Notamacropus eugenii: one gene and its partner. The main gene of each other region encodes a partner of the protein of the gene in region 2 in a complex. Links are inferred from orthologs where the notes say so. Each region holds a gene or a part of one and is shown on either strand. Other genes may lie near its edges.

Region 1 (8,004 bases), on a different chromosome or scaffold from region 2:
CCCCACCATTCATTTAATGAGCATGGCTATGTAGTAGTATATTTAACTGACCTGTATTTGCTGGAATCATTTTGCTTACATTTACAGCAGCAGTATGTTCCTAGTCTAAGTGACAGATTTTTGATAGGTTTAATGGTAAACAAAACTCTTTTCAGATTACCAAGTAAATCTACATTGTTTCTTTTTTTTTTTGTCATGAAAATAGTACTGGAGGGTCCCAATTCAATTTAACCTGTAGTATCTAAGCGCCTAAAACTAGATGTCAATGAAAGATTTTTCTCACTTCCCCATATTATAAAGGAATTTAAAAGCATAAGATAAGTGCTGATCACTTAAGTGTTTGGTCTAGGGGCTTAATATGGAAACTAAGACCTGAAGATCAAGAGTAGCTCTGGTATAAAATTTCTTTTAGTGGCTGTCATTTCCCCTCAGCTTGGCTTCTTATTTTAACATCCATTCTCTCTCTGGTTAGTGAAATCTAACAAATTTCGAATTGTAAATGGAAAAAATAACTTAAATGGTAAACAGAATTTTGCCTTCAACTACACATATGCAATACATACATCAAATCTACAGAAATGGCATGTTGCAACGGATGTAATTTCCCTCATAAATTTGAAACTTTAAATGCAAAATCAAATATACTGCCAACTTAAGCAGTCAGTGTCAAGACAAGCAAAACTGAGCCACTCCTGGAAATGCCTAAATTTAATTCACAAGACATTCCTGAAAGGATTATTACCTATGGAGTAAATAAAGCAATGAAGGGTCTTTCTTCTTGGTTCCACCACAGAGCTACTTGCATCTAAACAGGTGTAATACTAGCATCTACTAACCCCCTCCCACAACAGATAATTTTCAAAGCCTACATACAAATAAAAATAAAACAAAAAGACAAGATACTGCGGTCACAAGTATTTTAATTTTTTAAAATCACTTATCCAAAACAAAAATTGCACTATTCTACTCTAAAGTTAACACAAGTAAAAATTAAAGAGGTTCTGTCTCACAGAGAAGGTGCTGAAAGTCAGTGAAAGCTTCACGCCTCACACTACACTAGGTTCCTTCAGTGCACATGAAAATGTGATAGATTTGACACTACTCTTTCAAAAAAAGTTAACATTCAACCGATACAACTATTTATTAACTTTCTAAGCAACCAAAACAATTTCATCAGTTTTTATTGTTTGAGTAACATTACAATGAGCAATCACCACCATACAATTCATCTTTCATGTTACAGTCCCAAGGAAAGTCATTGCAGTACAGTTACACACAAGTCTGTTAGAAGCACTGGGCTCTAATGGACAACTGTTCCACAAACTGCGGTATTGTGTGCTTCGTGGACTTCCTGGAATTGTCATTACACTGCACCCTGTTTTAAGTGGCTGTACCTGAAAACCAAGGTATGCAATTCCTTAGGATTAGAAGGCATCAAGTTATGCGGTGAAAAACGAGGGGAAGGCGGGGGAGCAGAGAGGAGAGTCTAAGGAGCCTCCCCTCAGAACCCAACTTTTTAAAAAAAGAACAGTTTCTGCTCTGCCTGTGCTTCCATGAAGCCCAGAACAACAACAAAAATACACATGGTAAGTAGGCAGCAGGAGGGACAACGTTCCGAACCCAGAAACTCGCCCCACCGGAGCCCTGGCACGGAGGCCGGGGGTGGCACCACCCCCGCGGGGCTCGGCCGCCTCCGCCGGCCCCCTCCTCGCGAGCAACGAGCCCTACGGCCCAGACAAACCTGCAGCCCGTTCCTCCGGGAGGCTCGGCCGGGGACGAGGAGCCATGGCTTTTACCCGCAGCGCTCCGGGGAGTGGGGAGGGAAGAGGCGACCCGGGGCCGGGGTCCTGGGCTCGGATCTAACCGACCTCCGGCCTGGCCGCGCAACCCCGGCCTTTCCGAGGGGCTCCCGGGGACGGGACGAAGCGGGGCGCAGTCGGTCCTGAGAATAAACAGGAGCTCCGGGGGCCTGCAGTAAACACGGGCCTCCCACAGGCCCCACGTGGGAGCTGCCTAGAAACGGAAATGCTTTCCCGGCCAGAGCGGCCGAGCACAATCCCCGAGCGTGCGGCCCGGGCGACGGCAGCGGCCAGAGGGCCCCGACGACCTGGCGGCGCCACCCAGCGGCGAGCCGGGAGGCCTGCAGGCGGGCGCTCCTTCCCCGCTCCCCCCCTCCGTCGCCCCCCCCAACCCGTTCCCCTCTCTCGCTGCACAAGGCCCAACCCAAGAACTAAAGACCACAAAATGGCTGCCGGCCGCTTCGTCACGTGACCCCCTTTGTGCCTTTCGGGCCCCCGAACCCGGCGGGTCCCGGGTGGAAGCGGCCGAAGGGGGGGGCGGCGGTGGGCAGCGCCGGTGCGGGCCCGGCGGGGCCGCGGCGGGCCGGGGGTCGAGGCCGAGGGAGTCGGGGTAAAGGCCGGGCCGGCGACTGAACGTCGGCGGGGAAGAGAAGATGGCGGCCATTTTGTGTGGGGCTGACTGCTCCGTGGCCGCCGCAGGCAGCAGGGGGAGCGGGGCCTGGCGGTGGGTCGGGCGGGGGAGTTTACACGTACCGACTCCTCTTCCTTCTCCATTCCGGTGGGCATCTGCGGCACGGCCCGGTTTATCGAGGCGTATTCGTGCAGATCGGGCAGATCCTCACAGCGGAAGACCGGCAGCGGCTTCGAGGCGTCCAGCGCCCGCGCCCGAAACGACAATTTACTCATCTCAGGCGCAGCAGATACCTCTCCGCTCTGGGGAAACGGCCCCGGCCAGCGGGATCATGGAGAACCCGGGGCTCGGTCCCCACTCGCCTGCCGCTGCCGGGGACTGGAGGGGCGGAGCGTGGGGCCCGCCGTCCGGGCCCTCACCGCAGCCGGGAGGGTGGGTGCCTGTGCCGCTCCGCTCCGCTCTCACTCGCTCTCTTCAATACGCCATGGCCAACATGGCGGACATTAAAACTCCACTGTGCGCTCTTCAGCCAACCCCAGCCATTCCCCACACTGCATCGCGCAGCGGCGCGGGCACGCGGCGGAGGGGGGGAGCGCGGGCTCGAGGCCGGGCGCCGGCACGGACTGCGCGCGCCCCCGCCAACCCCTGCTCCCCAGGCTGGCTCCGGCTCCGGCTCCGGCTCCTGGCTGCTCCCGCCGCCGCCGCCGCCGCTGCCTGCTCCGCTCTCCTCCCCCCGGTCCTCCCCCGCCCCGGGGCCGCCGCTCCCGCCCGACGCGGTCCGGAGGGGACCGCGCTGCCGGGACCCCGGGCTGCCCCGCTCCCGGCCGAGGCTTCCCGGAGAGCCGCGGGAGCGCTGGGGCCGGTCGCCGCCGGGCTCCGGGGGGCCCCTGCCATCCCGGCCGCTCCTCCAGCCCGGAGCCCCCCGTCCCGGAGCCCCGGCGCCCGCTGCTGCCGTGGGAGGGCAGCCGCCGAGAGCTCGATGGTTCGGAGCGGCCGGGGCGCGCTCCTGCAGCCGGGCCGGCAACTTGGGGGGCCTCGGGGAGAAAAGCCCGGCGCGACGGAGGTGGCGGCGCGAACACGCGCGCACACACCCCCTGACACACACACACGCACACACCCCCTGACACACACCGACACGCGCGCACACACCGACACACGCGCGGGCGGGCGCGCGCCCCGACACCACTCGAGCTTCTCTGCAAACCAAACGGTCGCGAAGTCAGCGCCGTCTACACGGGCTGCCCTCGAGGAGCCGCCCCCCTGCTGGGGGGCACGGCCCTGGGCACCGTTACCCCGCCGCCGCGCCGGGCTGGGGCGTCAATATTAAACACCCGGCTGCCCCGCGCGAGGCTTCATTCTGTTTTATCTGCAGATGCGGGGAGGTAGACGCACATGGAACCGGACGGAGGAGGGGAATCCTGAACGTAACCGGGACGGGGACGTTCCGAAAGGGTTTCCTCTTTGCCGAAGCCGGGACCCTCTCCCCCAGTTGTCCCGGTGCTGGGGCTTTCGCGAAGTCCTGATTCCCCGCCGGTGGTAGAAGAAGAGGCTGTTTCCCGAGTGGCCGTGACGGACGGTCATTCGTCCTGTTTAGGAGGCTTTCTTCTAAAACATTTTACACACATTAAATAAATGCCATTTGTGGCAAGGGTCGTAAAAGACGTTCTGCAGCTGAAACAGCAAGAGCCCGAGCGCCTCTAGTCATTTATGAATGAGACGCAGGCGAACTCGTCTTCTAAGGGTTATTCCAGACGCCAGAATAGGGATTCCAAGAGCCTTCCCAGTTTAAAATGGTCCGGGATGGGCTGATTGGTCTTGCAGAGAAATCCCCACATTCACTCCACAAAAACGTCTTCTCAGTCCATTTCCCCCGGCTGTACATCCCACATCACGTCAAGATAAGTACGATCGGTCGGCATCGTTAACCACTGGCTGAGGGCAAATGGGCAAATGGGCAAATTGCTACCTCCTGGCCTGGGTTAGCTCTAGCCCATCCTGGGGACAGCAATAGCCGCTACTTCCCTCCAGCGGGAGGATGCTAATATAACGAATATTGATTCAACAAACTTAAGAAAGCAGAGTCAGCTTTCCCTTCACTTTATACAAAAATCCTTCCTCCTCCAGAAACAAATATGATGACTCCTTTAGACAGGTAAATCCCCTTAAAACAGCTACTGCTGATTCCCAAGTATATACCCCACAAATATATACAGAATATAGACTACATGCAAGGCGCTTCATACGGGTTACGTAAAATACAAAAGCACCAAGGAAAGACACTTGCTTTCTGACTGAGCAAATCACTTCTCTGTCTCCATTTCCTCATCCATGAAATGGATGAACTGTGTTATCTACCTCACAGAATTATTATGAAGGAAATTCCTTGTAAATATATACATGACAGCTATTATACCAAGATGAGAGAGACAATCTCTGACTTCCAGGTGCTTATGACTACTCTAGTAGGGGAGATAATACAACACACAACACAAGGCAGTAATGAGTACCATGAGTACAGGGAAAGGATCACTTTAGACCAAGATAAACTTGAATGGAAAAGGTAGCATTTGAGCTTAGTTTTGAAGGATACATAAGGGGTCAAGAAGTTGAGCTGTGGGGATGAGATCAAGGATGTTTGCTTATGGAAGAAAGGAGCAATGCATGTTTGGGGGAAAGCAAGAGGTCTGATCTTGTTAGAGCGCCATATCTGGCTAACTGCTCACAGGTAAGTCTAAAAAAGAGTTATATCCAATTTCAGATAGCTTTGAACATCAGGAATTTGGACTCGATTTGGTTGTCACTGGGCATCTTTGAGCAAAGGACTAATGTGACTGAAGCTGTCCTCTAAGAAGAATAACTTGAGAAGTGGTCTATGGAAAAATACAAGAGAGAACGTTAGGAGGGTAATGGAATAGCGTCTGCTCTAAAGTCGTAGCACTGGGAATGGAAAGGAAATGATGAATGATTTAAGTGATAATCCTCATAAGTTATGAAAAAAAATCTAAACCTAAAACATTAATTCTAGTTCAAAACTGGGATTTCTGCTAATATTAATGAATAGTAAAGAAAGAAAAAAAGAGTCAAACCAACAGAACCTAAAGACAAGTACCCTCATATGTGTGGGTGTATATATGTATATATGTGCACATGTACATATATACATACATACATACATACATATATATATATATAAAACCATGCTTACAATGTTTACACATACACCCAATCTGTTACCAGGTCCTGTCATTTACTTCTTCAAAATATATCTACAATTCATGATACAATTCATTCTCTCCTGTCCCACTGTCATCCCACTTAGAAGTCCACAATAGACTTCCTGTTTTCCCTATCTCTACCTTGTCCTCTTGCCAGCCCATCCAACAATATTCTCTCAATCTAATATTCCTAAAATACTACGTTCGTTGTTCTTCTGCAGATCAAATACCTACAATGACTCCCCTACAGACATCCTGCCCTAACATCGAAAAGTCATGCTCCTCGCTGGTCAGGACAATCAGTTTCCTGCCATTAGCATATGCTATGTTCATTCTCACCTCTGGCAATCCCCCATCCTTTATTCCTCAGTCTCCCTTTCAAAATGCTTCTTGTCCATTGCAAGTCTAACCTCCATAGTGAACCAATGACTTTTTCTGGGCTTATTTCCTTATCAGAGGAGAGGGTTACACTTTTATTTCCAAGATTTCTTTCAGCTTGAAAAATTCAATGACAGACTGATAATCTCTTGTATCTCTGAGCTCCTATTACTTGTATAGTCAGTTGTAGAAAACTTTTTTAGTTGTCTTATATTTTATCTCTGCAACTAGAATATGATAAGCTTCTGGAGGGCAGATGTCATGTCTTCTATATCTTTTATATTCTCCCAAAATGTCTAGCACAGGGCTGAGTACACAGTAGCACATTTGTTAAATGCCTGTCAATTGACTGATTTGCATATATATATATAAGCATATGTTATATATACACACACTTTAAATCTTATCACTATTTGTAAAACCCTAGTTTATGGAAAATAAAATCCATCTTTTTTTAAACAATGCCTTCCTCCTCTAAAATCCCATGATGGACTAGTTTGTGAAAATGTAGACTTCTTCCCACCTCCAAAAAAAAGATTCTTAGGGAAATTGATGCTCCTAAAATTAAAAAGTTAATATAGCATGTTAGTTGTAAAACACTTTGTGACTGTAAAACAATAAATACTTTAATAAGTTCTCCTTTGAAGGAAAGGCAGTTAACTTATTGTTTCATATTTTATTCCTGAATGATGTAGTAATCACAACAAGTGTACCAAAACTGCAGTTTCTAAAAATCCTTTTGAGAGGGTCATGGGGCTAGCCTAAGACATCTTAATTATAGTTAAATTTCCATTGTTAATGTTGGACAAATCATTAAGTTCTCTGGGTCTTTTTTTTTTTAATTTTCTAAAGAGGAAAAACACTGACCTCCCACATGAGATGCCTATGAGTGTCCATATTAATTATTACTAGCAATAAAATGCTTTGAGTTCCTCTGAGATAAAAAGCTGTCTAAGTACAAAGCACTTTATTTTATATTACTTGAAGACTAAAGTTGTGGTGAAGTTAAAAGTCAGTGAAAAAAGTTTCACTTAAATTTAGACCAAAAAAATCAGGAGTGATTGGGTATTTTCTGCTACTTCCAAGCCTAACCTTCATTTTTTTAACTCTCAAACTGGTAAATGAACTTATCTCCATCCTGCTAGTCTTGCAAGAAACTGATGAAAAAGAAGGTTAATAGAGGTAAAGACCAGCGTAGTAATGTTTAATGCGGCTATTTCTAGGTGTTGTTGATGGGAAAGAATAGTGAGATATACAGAGACGGTAATTTGAGACATTAAAATAACCCCACAACTGAATATTGACTGAGATGATGGTATTACTCAATTAGTAAAAATAGTCTTGGTTTTTGTTATGATCTACATGCCTGTTTGTCTGCCAAGTGAAACCAACAGTTTAAAGTGTTGCTGGCTTTTATGAAAAATTAATTAAGTGGTTGGAAAGCATTATGATATTTTGGTTGCAGCTTTTCATAGATCATAGATTTAGAGCTGAGAGAGATCTTAGAGGACATGTAAGGTCAAACGCCTCATTTTATAGAAGAGGAAGCTGAGGCCCAAAGAAGATGTGACTTTCCCAAGTCATACACCTTGTTAAGTGCCAGATGTGGCATTCACACTCAGGTCCCTTGACCTTAAATTCATCAGGCTTTCCATAGAACCACCTTTCTCTTAACAATGTTTTGGTTAGTACTTGATAAAAGAACTATTTGGTGAGTTTTTAAAAAAATTAAATTCCAATGATTAATTTATTAAAAATAAAAGGGTATCTTTGAAAACTAAAATTTAAGAATTATAAATCATGCACATTAGTAGAAACATTTAAAAATTATTATATTGAATTGTATAATTATATTGAATTTGTATCAGTTCACAACATTTCTTGAGAACCTACTGTATGCAGGCTACTAGGTTAGATAGACATTAAATATGAATGGAAGAGACCTCAGGAGTCATTCAGCACACATTTATTAATCACCTAC
Region 2 (7,372 bases):
TGTTAAAAGGGCTTCATTTTTCCTTCTTTTTCAGTGGGAAATGGTTGGTGGTGGGAAAGAGAGATGTTAGATTTTGGTTAATTGAAAAAAAAAAGTTAATTAAAAAAAAAAAGGACCCAAGACTGTAAAACTGGGTAAATGGAAAAATAGTAGTACCCTCAATACAAACAGGTAAATTTGAAGGAGGGGTAACAAGGAAATAAAAGGCAATTTTCACTGATCTACAGTAAAAGTGCATAACTTTAAATTCTCTCAATAAGGCAAAGGTCTTCCGGTTAAATTAATAGGACTGGGTACGGAAAGACTGCTATAGAAGGACACTATCCCTGGAGCTTACTTTCTGAGAGAACCAGTCAGGAGGTCGGCCAGGTTCAGCAAAGGGCTTGATTGCTCTGCTAACTGACACCCTACAAAAAAAGAAAAAAATAAGGACCTTCAAAGCATCAGTCTTGGACCACAACATACTATAAAACTCCATCATGAGAGGACAAAAGATATGCTGGTAATTTCAGGTCCACAGGTTAGGAGCCACACTTTTAAAACCAAAAGGAGTACAGTTAGGAACAGCGAAGGAACAGACTTTGAATATGGGAGTAAATAAACAACGTAAAAGTCATTTAGAATGAAAAGAACATTCCTCAGTAGAACTTCTAGATGAGAAAGAGAAAGAATAGGTACCTAATGCTCTATCAGTTTGGGGAATGTGTCAGTATTCTTATTGTTATGACTCAAATGCCTTAAAAATAAATAAGTATAGTGTCAGTTCAAACTACTTCACTAGACATTTTGTGAAAAGCTGGGTTGGATTTTATACTGCAGTCAAGTTAAATATATGAGTATGCTGGGTTTAACAAACTGGCACAGTTTATTGTTTATTCTAGTCTTTGGTTCTGTTATCACTTGAGGGTTTACAAAGAAATTTCCTCACAATAACCCTGTGAGGCAAATAATACAAGTATTATCATGCTCCTTTTAAGGATGAGAAAACTAAAGCTCACAGAGTGGGGTTTGCCCCGATTACACAAAGGTGACAGAACTAGGATTCAGCCTCTGATCGGACCAAAACTACCCAAAAACAAACACAGCGTCTCTGCACCACATTACACTCTCAACTCGATGCACGATGCGCATCAACAACAGCCAACAGCGCCATCACACCCCCATGTGTAACAGCTTACATTTACATAGTGCTTTCCGGTTTCCAAAGCAATTGCCTCCCAACACTCTTTTAATATAGGGGGTTTACAAGTACCATTATCCCATCTTGCAGATTTAGGGCAGTCGTTACTAGGCTTTGTACCTGAAGACCCCTTTTTAATGTAAAATAAATCCACTTTTTTGTGACATTAATTTTAACATTAACATATAATGACTGAGAAATTACCTAATGACTAAAAGATACGAAGAAATCAGAAACATTTCTACAACTGGCATTTTATTAATCCCTGAAGCATCTGGATATATTTGAAATACCCCGTATTTACAACCATTACACAGGAGCTTCTGGAACGAAAGGCAATGCTTTTATACGTATGGATTTACAGACAGATACCCGGGAATCACTTCATGTGTTCATAAGTAGGGCACCACTAGATTAGGAGGTACCACAGCTGTGGTTTTTAACTAAGCCCAGGGTCACCAAGTTCATCAATATTCATTTAAGCAGGAAATCAGGCCCAGATCTTTTGACTTCAAGGTCAGTAGATTTTCCATTACATTATGAAGATAAGGGATGGCTCCTGAACTGTTGCTACTTACAAGGTAGAGAGTGACTGATATTAATCTCTACCACCACTGGACATGCTTCTACAAATACAGGGGAAGCAGTTCTCAAGTTTTTCATTACAAGATTCCATCTAAGGGCCCAGGTAAACACCAGAAAGCAAGCAAAGTTTCCTGTAGAGAACAATATCTTCTACTTAATGAGTGACTGAGTTCTCATTTAAACTAATGGTATAACTCCAAAATTGGAATCAGATTGAGGAAGAAAAAAATTCTAAAAATTGTATTTTAACTATTAACAGAAAGAGCAGACAATTAGTCAAGAAGGTGCTCATTCTTTTCTGAAAATCACAAAAAGGCTAAACTAAATCTTAAGATTCAAGACCCTTCTCTTTTACTCCCCTGGAACTTCACAATAGTCTGAGATAATGGTTAAGGATTTACACTATCTCCTGGCTCCTATGGCTCAACTAACCCCCGAGTACAGGAAAGCCTCCCAATAATTTCAATGTCCCAAGCTCCTGCTATCCTACATTTGATATCCCAAGTATCTTACCAGTTTTGATCTCCACTCCTCATGACAGAGGAGGCTAGACACAGCTTCTCCCGAATAGACCAGGGTTCTGTGGGGCCAGTACTCAGCAGCTTGTGTTCTGTAGAAAGAGGAAACTCAGTGAGAGTCCATTGAGAAGACACCAATCCCAGGCAAAGGTCTAACACTATTCCAATCAAGTGAACTAAACCAGATTGGTCTCAATACAACTCTTTACATCAAAAATTGGGTAGCAACCCACTGTGGACCAGGACCTGCTCTATGCCTTCAAATCTCAACAATCCACCTTAAGAATAAGGTAAAGAAGCAGTTGAGTAAGACCTTAGAAATCATCTAGTCCAGGGGTTCTTAACTTTTTGTGTCTCAGACCCCTTTGGCAGTCTGGAGAAACCTTTGGCTCCCCTTCTCAGAATTTTTTAAATGCATAAAATAAAAAGGAAATCAAATATCAAGGAAAACAAATATCAATTTTTTAATCCAAATTCAAAACCTTCTTGAAATCTATTTAAGGCCCTATCCATAAATTCCAAATTAAAAGCCCCTGGTTCTAGCCCAATCGCCTTATTTTACAGTTGAAAAAAAAGGAGGCTAAATCATTTGCCCACTACCTCTCACACTTCGTAAGCAGCAGAGCTGGGATTTGAACCCAAGCCCTTCTAACTCCATAGTCTGGACTCTTTCAGGTGTACCACAATGCATCTGGTCCACCAACGCCTCTTTTACCTCTCAGTTTACAGTTTAGGAAACTGAGGCCTAAAGATCGCAAGCTATAGGTCTAAAAAATGACAGTAATCAAATCCAGGCTAGCACCCAGGCCTCCTGAATCCGAGCCTTATAATCTTTCCACTGCAGGGAACGTTGTTGTTTTTCAAAAAGCGGGGGGAAAAAAAAGAGGGGTGGGCCGCCTAACGTCTAAGCGGCCCTCCCAGCTCTAAAATCTGTCTACGCCACTCCGGATAGAAAGCTCGGCCCCCCCCGCAGAGACGCACAAGGCAGGCCTGGCTCCCGCGCTACACGCCTCACTAAGAAACCTGAGCCGCTCCCCGCAGACCAGGCCGCAGGAGGCCTCGCCCCGCCCAAGCTGCGGGAACGCGGCACTCAGACGGGGGAGGCAGGGAGGGAGGGGCGAGGGCAGATAGAGGCCTCCATCCACCGGTCTCTCCGGCGCTCGAAGCCTCGCTGCCCCGCCCCCTCCCCCTGGGGCTCCGCACACGACCCAGGCCCCTCCATAAACAAGCCCTCTTCGGCGGCCCCCTCGGCAAGCTCGAGTCTCGCCTAGCGCGATCTCACAGGGCCCCCAGGCCCAGCGCTCTGCGAATCCCAACCCTCGAGCTGGAAGCGGGAAGGGGGGCGGTCGGGAGGGTTCTGCCACAACCGCCGCAGCGGCCCATCCCCGAGCAGCGCAGACACTCACTGCCCGTCCCTGTCGCCATCTTGGCCCCGACTCTTCCCCCTTCCCGAGAAGAGGCAGGTCCTTATCGGACTGCGCCCCGAAGGACTCTGGGAAATGGAGTGCGAGCCCTGAGTTGACACCACACACAACCAGATGCCCTCTGGGAAATGGAGTTTATTTGGGGTGGGTGGTGTAGAGTTGGGGAGGAGTCTCTAGTTCTCGGGCAAGCTTCTGGATAAGAAAACGGTAGGGCGAGGGATGATGGCCTCACCTTTGGGTTTCCCTTCACATTTCATGGGGGGACAGGCTGTCGGGGGTTCTTAAGGGCGGGCAGAAGCCCTGGCCCGGAGCCCGGAGCCCAAAGGCCCACGCAGCGACGGTTGGTAACCCTGCCCGCCTTCTGAGCGCCATGATTGGCGGATGTGATCTCGCCGCCGGATTGGCTGACAGAGCAGAGCGCGTCGTTTGAAACCTTGCCTCCGAAACAAAGCTGCCCCTCGTGGGTGGAGCGGAGCTGGGCTGGGGGCTGCAGGGCTAGCTGGGGCTGGAGGAACGCGGCGGCCAGCGGCGTCTTCTTCACCCTGGGAGAGTAGAGACCTGGAGCGCCAGGGGAACCCGGAGAGAGTTCCGGTACTGGAGGCCGAGCTGGGAAAGTCTTCGCGCTAACGGGTAAAGGCCTGCACTCCCCGCGGCTTGGTCCTTCGCGGGCGCCTCTCACCGGTGAACTTGACCCCGGAGCCCTTCGGCCACGGCTTCCCTAATAACCTGCCTGGGGCGAGGGGCTGGGCTGCGAGCCCCCTCTCCGAGGCCCGGTGGATGAGGGGGGGGGGTCTCCGTATCTCCCCGCAGCTAGAGCCGGAGCTCACGTGTGGGTCGGTGGTTCGGGGGGCCGAGGCTTTCCCAGGAGTGAGCCTTCTCCCGGGTCTGGGAAAGCGGAGAATGGAGGGAAGAACGGGTTCCCACCTCAGGTGTGGAAGGTGCTCGTACCCTCTCCCTGAAGCCCCTTTCCTCTCCCAGGAGGAACGCGCCACCGTGGTCATGTCTCGGGGTATCCTGACCCCGCCTGTCGGCTTCCTTTCGGATGAGGACATCGTCGTGTCGCCCGTGTTCGAATCCACTGCTGCTGATTTGGGAGTCGGGATCCAAAAGGACCTGCTGTCGGAATTCTCTGCCATCTCCCCTCCCCCGATAGAGGACAAAGAGCAGGTAAAGTCCAGCGAGATGACGCCCACTCATGCATCCCCTCCTAGCCATTCCCACGCACGCCCTCATGCAGAGGTATGCATACCTCCCCACCCTCATCTTGGTGCAGGTAACGTGCTGGCTTTTGTTGCACGTTTGTGGGTTAGGTCTTAGGAGGAAGGAGGATGTTGAGAGAGGAGGACAAATGACTTTTCTTCAGTCTCTTAGCATGAGTGTAGCAGTAGAGGGAGGTCTATACGACTTCCCTAGTGTGTCTGCTGAGTAATCCTGTGATTGCTATGATTTCAGGCTCAGAGGTAGTTGTTTAATCTAATCAGTGGGGCTCTTGGCTGGGTTTCTGCCACAGGTTGTACCTGAAGATGGTGCAGAGAAGGTAAAAGTATACTTGAGAGTCCGACCCCTGCTGCCTTCAGAGGTAGAGAGACAAGAACAGGTGAGTGCCTTGGGAAGCACACGTTATGATATGATATAAAAGGGTAATGAGACTGCCCCCTTCTCCTAACATGTTTATGTATGTTTCATTTGCTAGGGCTGTGTTCGAATCGAAAACCCAGAAACGCTTGTTCTGCAGGCACCCAAGGACTCTTTTGCTATGAGAAGCAATGAGAGAGGTGTGGGCCAAGCCACTCATAGATTCACCTTTTCCCAGGTATCAAGCTGGAAGCACTTTCAACAAGGCTGCCAGTGAGATGTATAACCAGTGGGAAAATGTTTTTCTATATGTTTGCCAAGAGGAAGATCCATAAAGTTGTTGAGTCCATAGTGGTCTGGGGAGTAATTGTTGTTGCGTTTGTCCTTCGTTCTCAAAGAAGACCATGACATAAAGATGATGACATGACTTGCAGTTGACTTTGATTTGAGTGAGGGAGGGCTGTGCCAGGTCACCAGCCTTATTTCTTCTGAGCCATCTGGGTCCAGTGGCCTGATATTCATCAGGATACAATGGGAGATCCTGGTCCTGTCTTATCACATCCTCACTTTGAGTGAGATACACCCATTCAATGTTAAGTAGTTACTCAAAGGATGGCCCCTTTAATCCAAAAAAAAAAAAATCAAACTGGGAGGGGAAGACCCTCAGGATTTCTGAGTAAAAGAGAAACAGCTATTGTTTAGTATTTAGATACCAAATAGGTCTGGGGAGTAATAGAGAGTTATGGGAGGAACTGACTTTCAGGGGTAGGGATTAGGCTGGTGGAAATGAACCTATGTTAAAAACAAGGAGGAGACTTCAAGGAACTGTATTCTTCCTAGATCTTTGGACCAGAAGTAGGACAGGCATCTTTCTTCAACCTGACAGTGAAAGAAATGGTCAGAGATGTGCTCAAAGGCTACAACTGGCTCATTTATACATATGGAGTGACTAACTCTGGAAAGACCCATACTGTCCAGGGTGAGTGAGAGTCAAAGCATCATGAAATTCTGGTGAGTTTCTAGAAGGATCTTTTAGCGTTTCAAGTGCTAGCACTCAGCTCTCCTTTTTTATGTTTCTAGGTAGCAACAAGGATGGAGGGATCCTACCTCGTTCTCTGGCTCTGATCTTCAATAGTATTCGAAACCAGCTCTACCCAGCCTCTGACTTGAAGCCTTCTTTTGCTAATGAAGTGATTTGGCTAGATAGCAAGCAGGTGAGGCAGGAAGAGATGAAGAAGACAGCCCTGCTGAATGGCAGCTCTCGTGAGGTCAGTACCCAGAATCGCATCAATGAAGGGCAGGAGTACTCCGAGGAAATCTTTGTATTTATTTTCTCTTGGGGTTTCTCTAGGAGGAAGTGATAAACTCTCTGAAGAAAAGCCACAACACTGAATCACTACCGCTGGGGAACAGTGCCAGTTTTGACAGTGGCATTGCTGGACTCTCTTCTACGAGCCATTTGACTAGCCAAAGCAGTGTCAGCCTCAGCCAAATGGAGGGTATATTTTTTTAACTTTAAGAAAATTTTGTCATTTCAGTGAACACAGTCTATTTTTTCCTCCTTCCCACCTCACATTGTCTTTACCCCTTACTGAAAAAAAAAAAAATCAAACCCTTGTAAGAAGTCCTTGTGAAAGGCATGTTTTTAAACTTACCTCTACAAGTACATTTTCTTCTGTAGAAATCCAGAGTTACTGTTATTAGGAGTGAAAGCCCAGGGTGATTCTTTGCTATTGAGACGCAAGCATGATGATCAAAGCTAGGCTTGTAGCTGACTATTTATTGTACCTTCCACAGACACATCTTGTAGATGGGCTGAGCCAGATACTGCCCCATTCTGTGTCCCAGCTGATGTCCGGTTCTCTATCTGGATCTCCTTCTTTGAGATCTATAATGAGATGATCTTTGACTTGTTGGAGCCCCCCAGCCAGCAGCGAAAGAGGCAGACACTCCGGCTATGTGAAGACCAAAATGGCAATCCCTACGTAAAAGGTAGTGAGAGTTGGAGGTCAAGGAAAGTAACTAAAAAAAGAGAAAGAGAAAGAAGGGGAGTAAAAATTAGAGGTTTTTAACTTATTCCCTTCTCCCTG

What was found. Proteins that work in one complex are often made in the same cells at the same time.
Region 1: BRD8 (region 2) and EPC1 share a complex: the UniProt entries of both Homo sapiens proteins name them as parts of the nuA4-related complex. The link is inferred for Notamacropus eugenii from reciprocal best matches to the Homo sapiens genes BRD8 and EPC1.

The regions. Positions count from the first base shown.
Region 1 is NC_092874.1:72,575,571-72,583,574, forward strand, and holds the start of EPC1 (enhancer of polycomb homolog 1), read right to left. Parts: upstream 3,005-8,004; 5' UTR 2,706-3,004; coding exon 2,553-2,705; intron 1-2,552. UniProt on the Homo sapiens protein: Component of the NuA4 histone acetyltransferase (HAT) complex, a multiprotein complex involved in transcriptional activation of select genes principally by acetylation of nucleosomal histones H4 and H2A.
Region 2 is NC_092872.1:365,308,763-365,316,134, forward strand, and holds the start of BRD8 (bromodomain-containing protein 8), read right to left. Parts: upstream 3,087-7,372; 5' UTR 2,975-3,086; coding exon 2,884-2,974; intron 2,376-2,883; coding exon 2,279-2,375; intron 408-2,278; coding exon 338-407; intron 1-337. Other genes in the region: kinesin-like protein KIF20A, read left to right, coding at 4,707-4,874, 5,218-5,304, 5,401-5,520, 6,123-6,261, 6,363-6,550, 6,634-6,781, 7,080-7,274. UniProt on the Homo sapiens protein: May act as a coactivator during transcriptional activation by hormone-activated nuclear receptors (NR). Isoform 2 stimulates transcriptional activation by AR/DHTR, ESR1/NR3A1, RXRA/NR2B1 and THRB/ERBA2.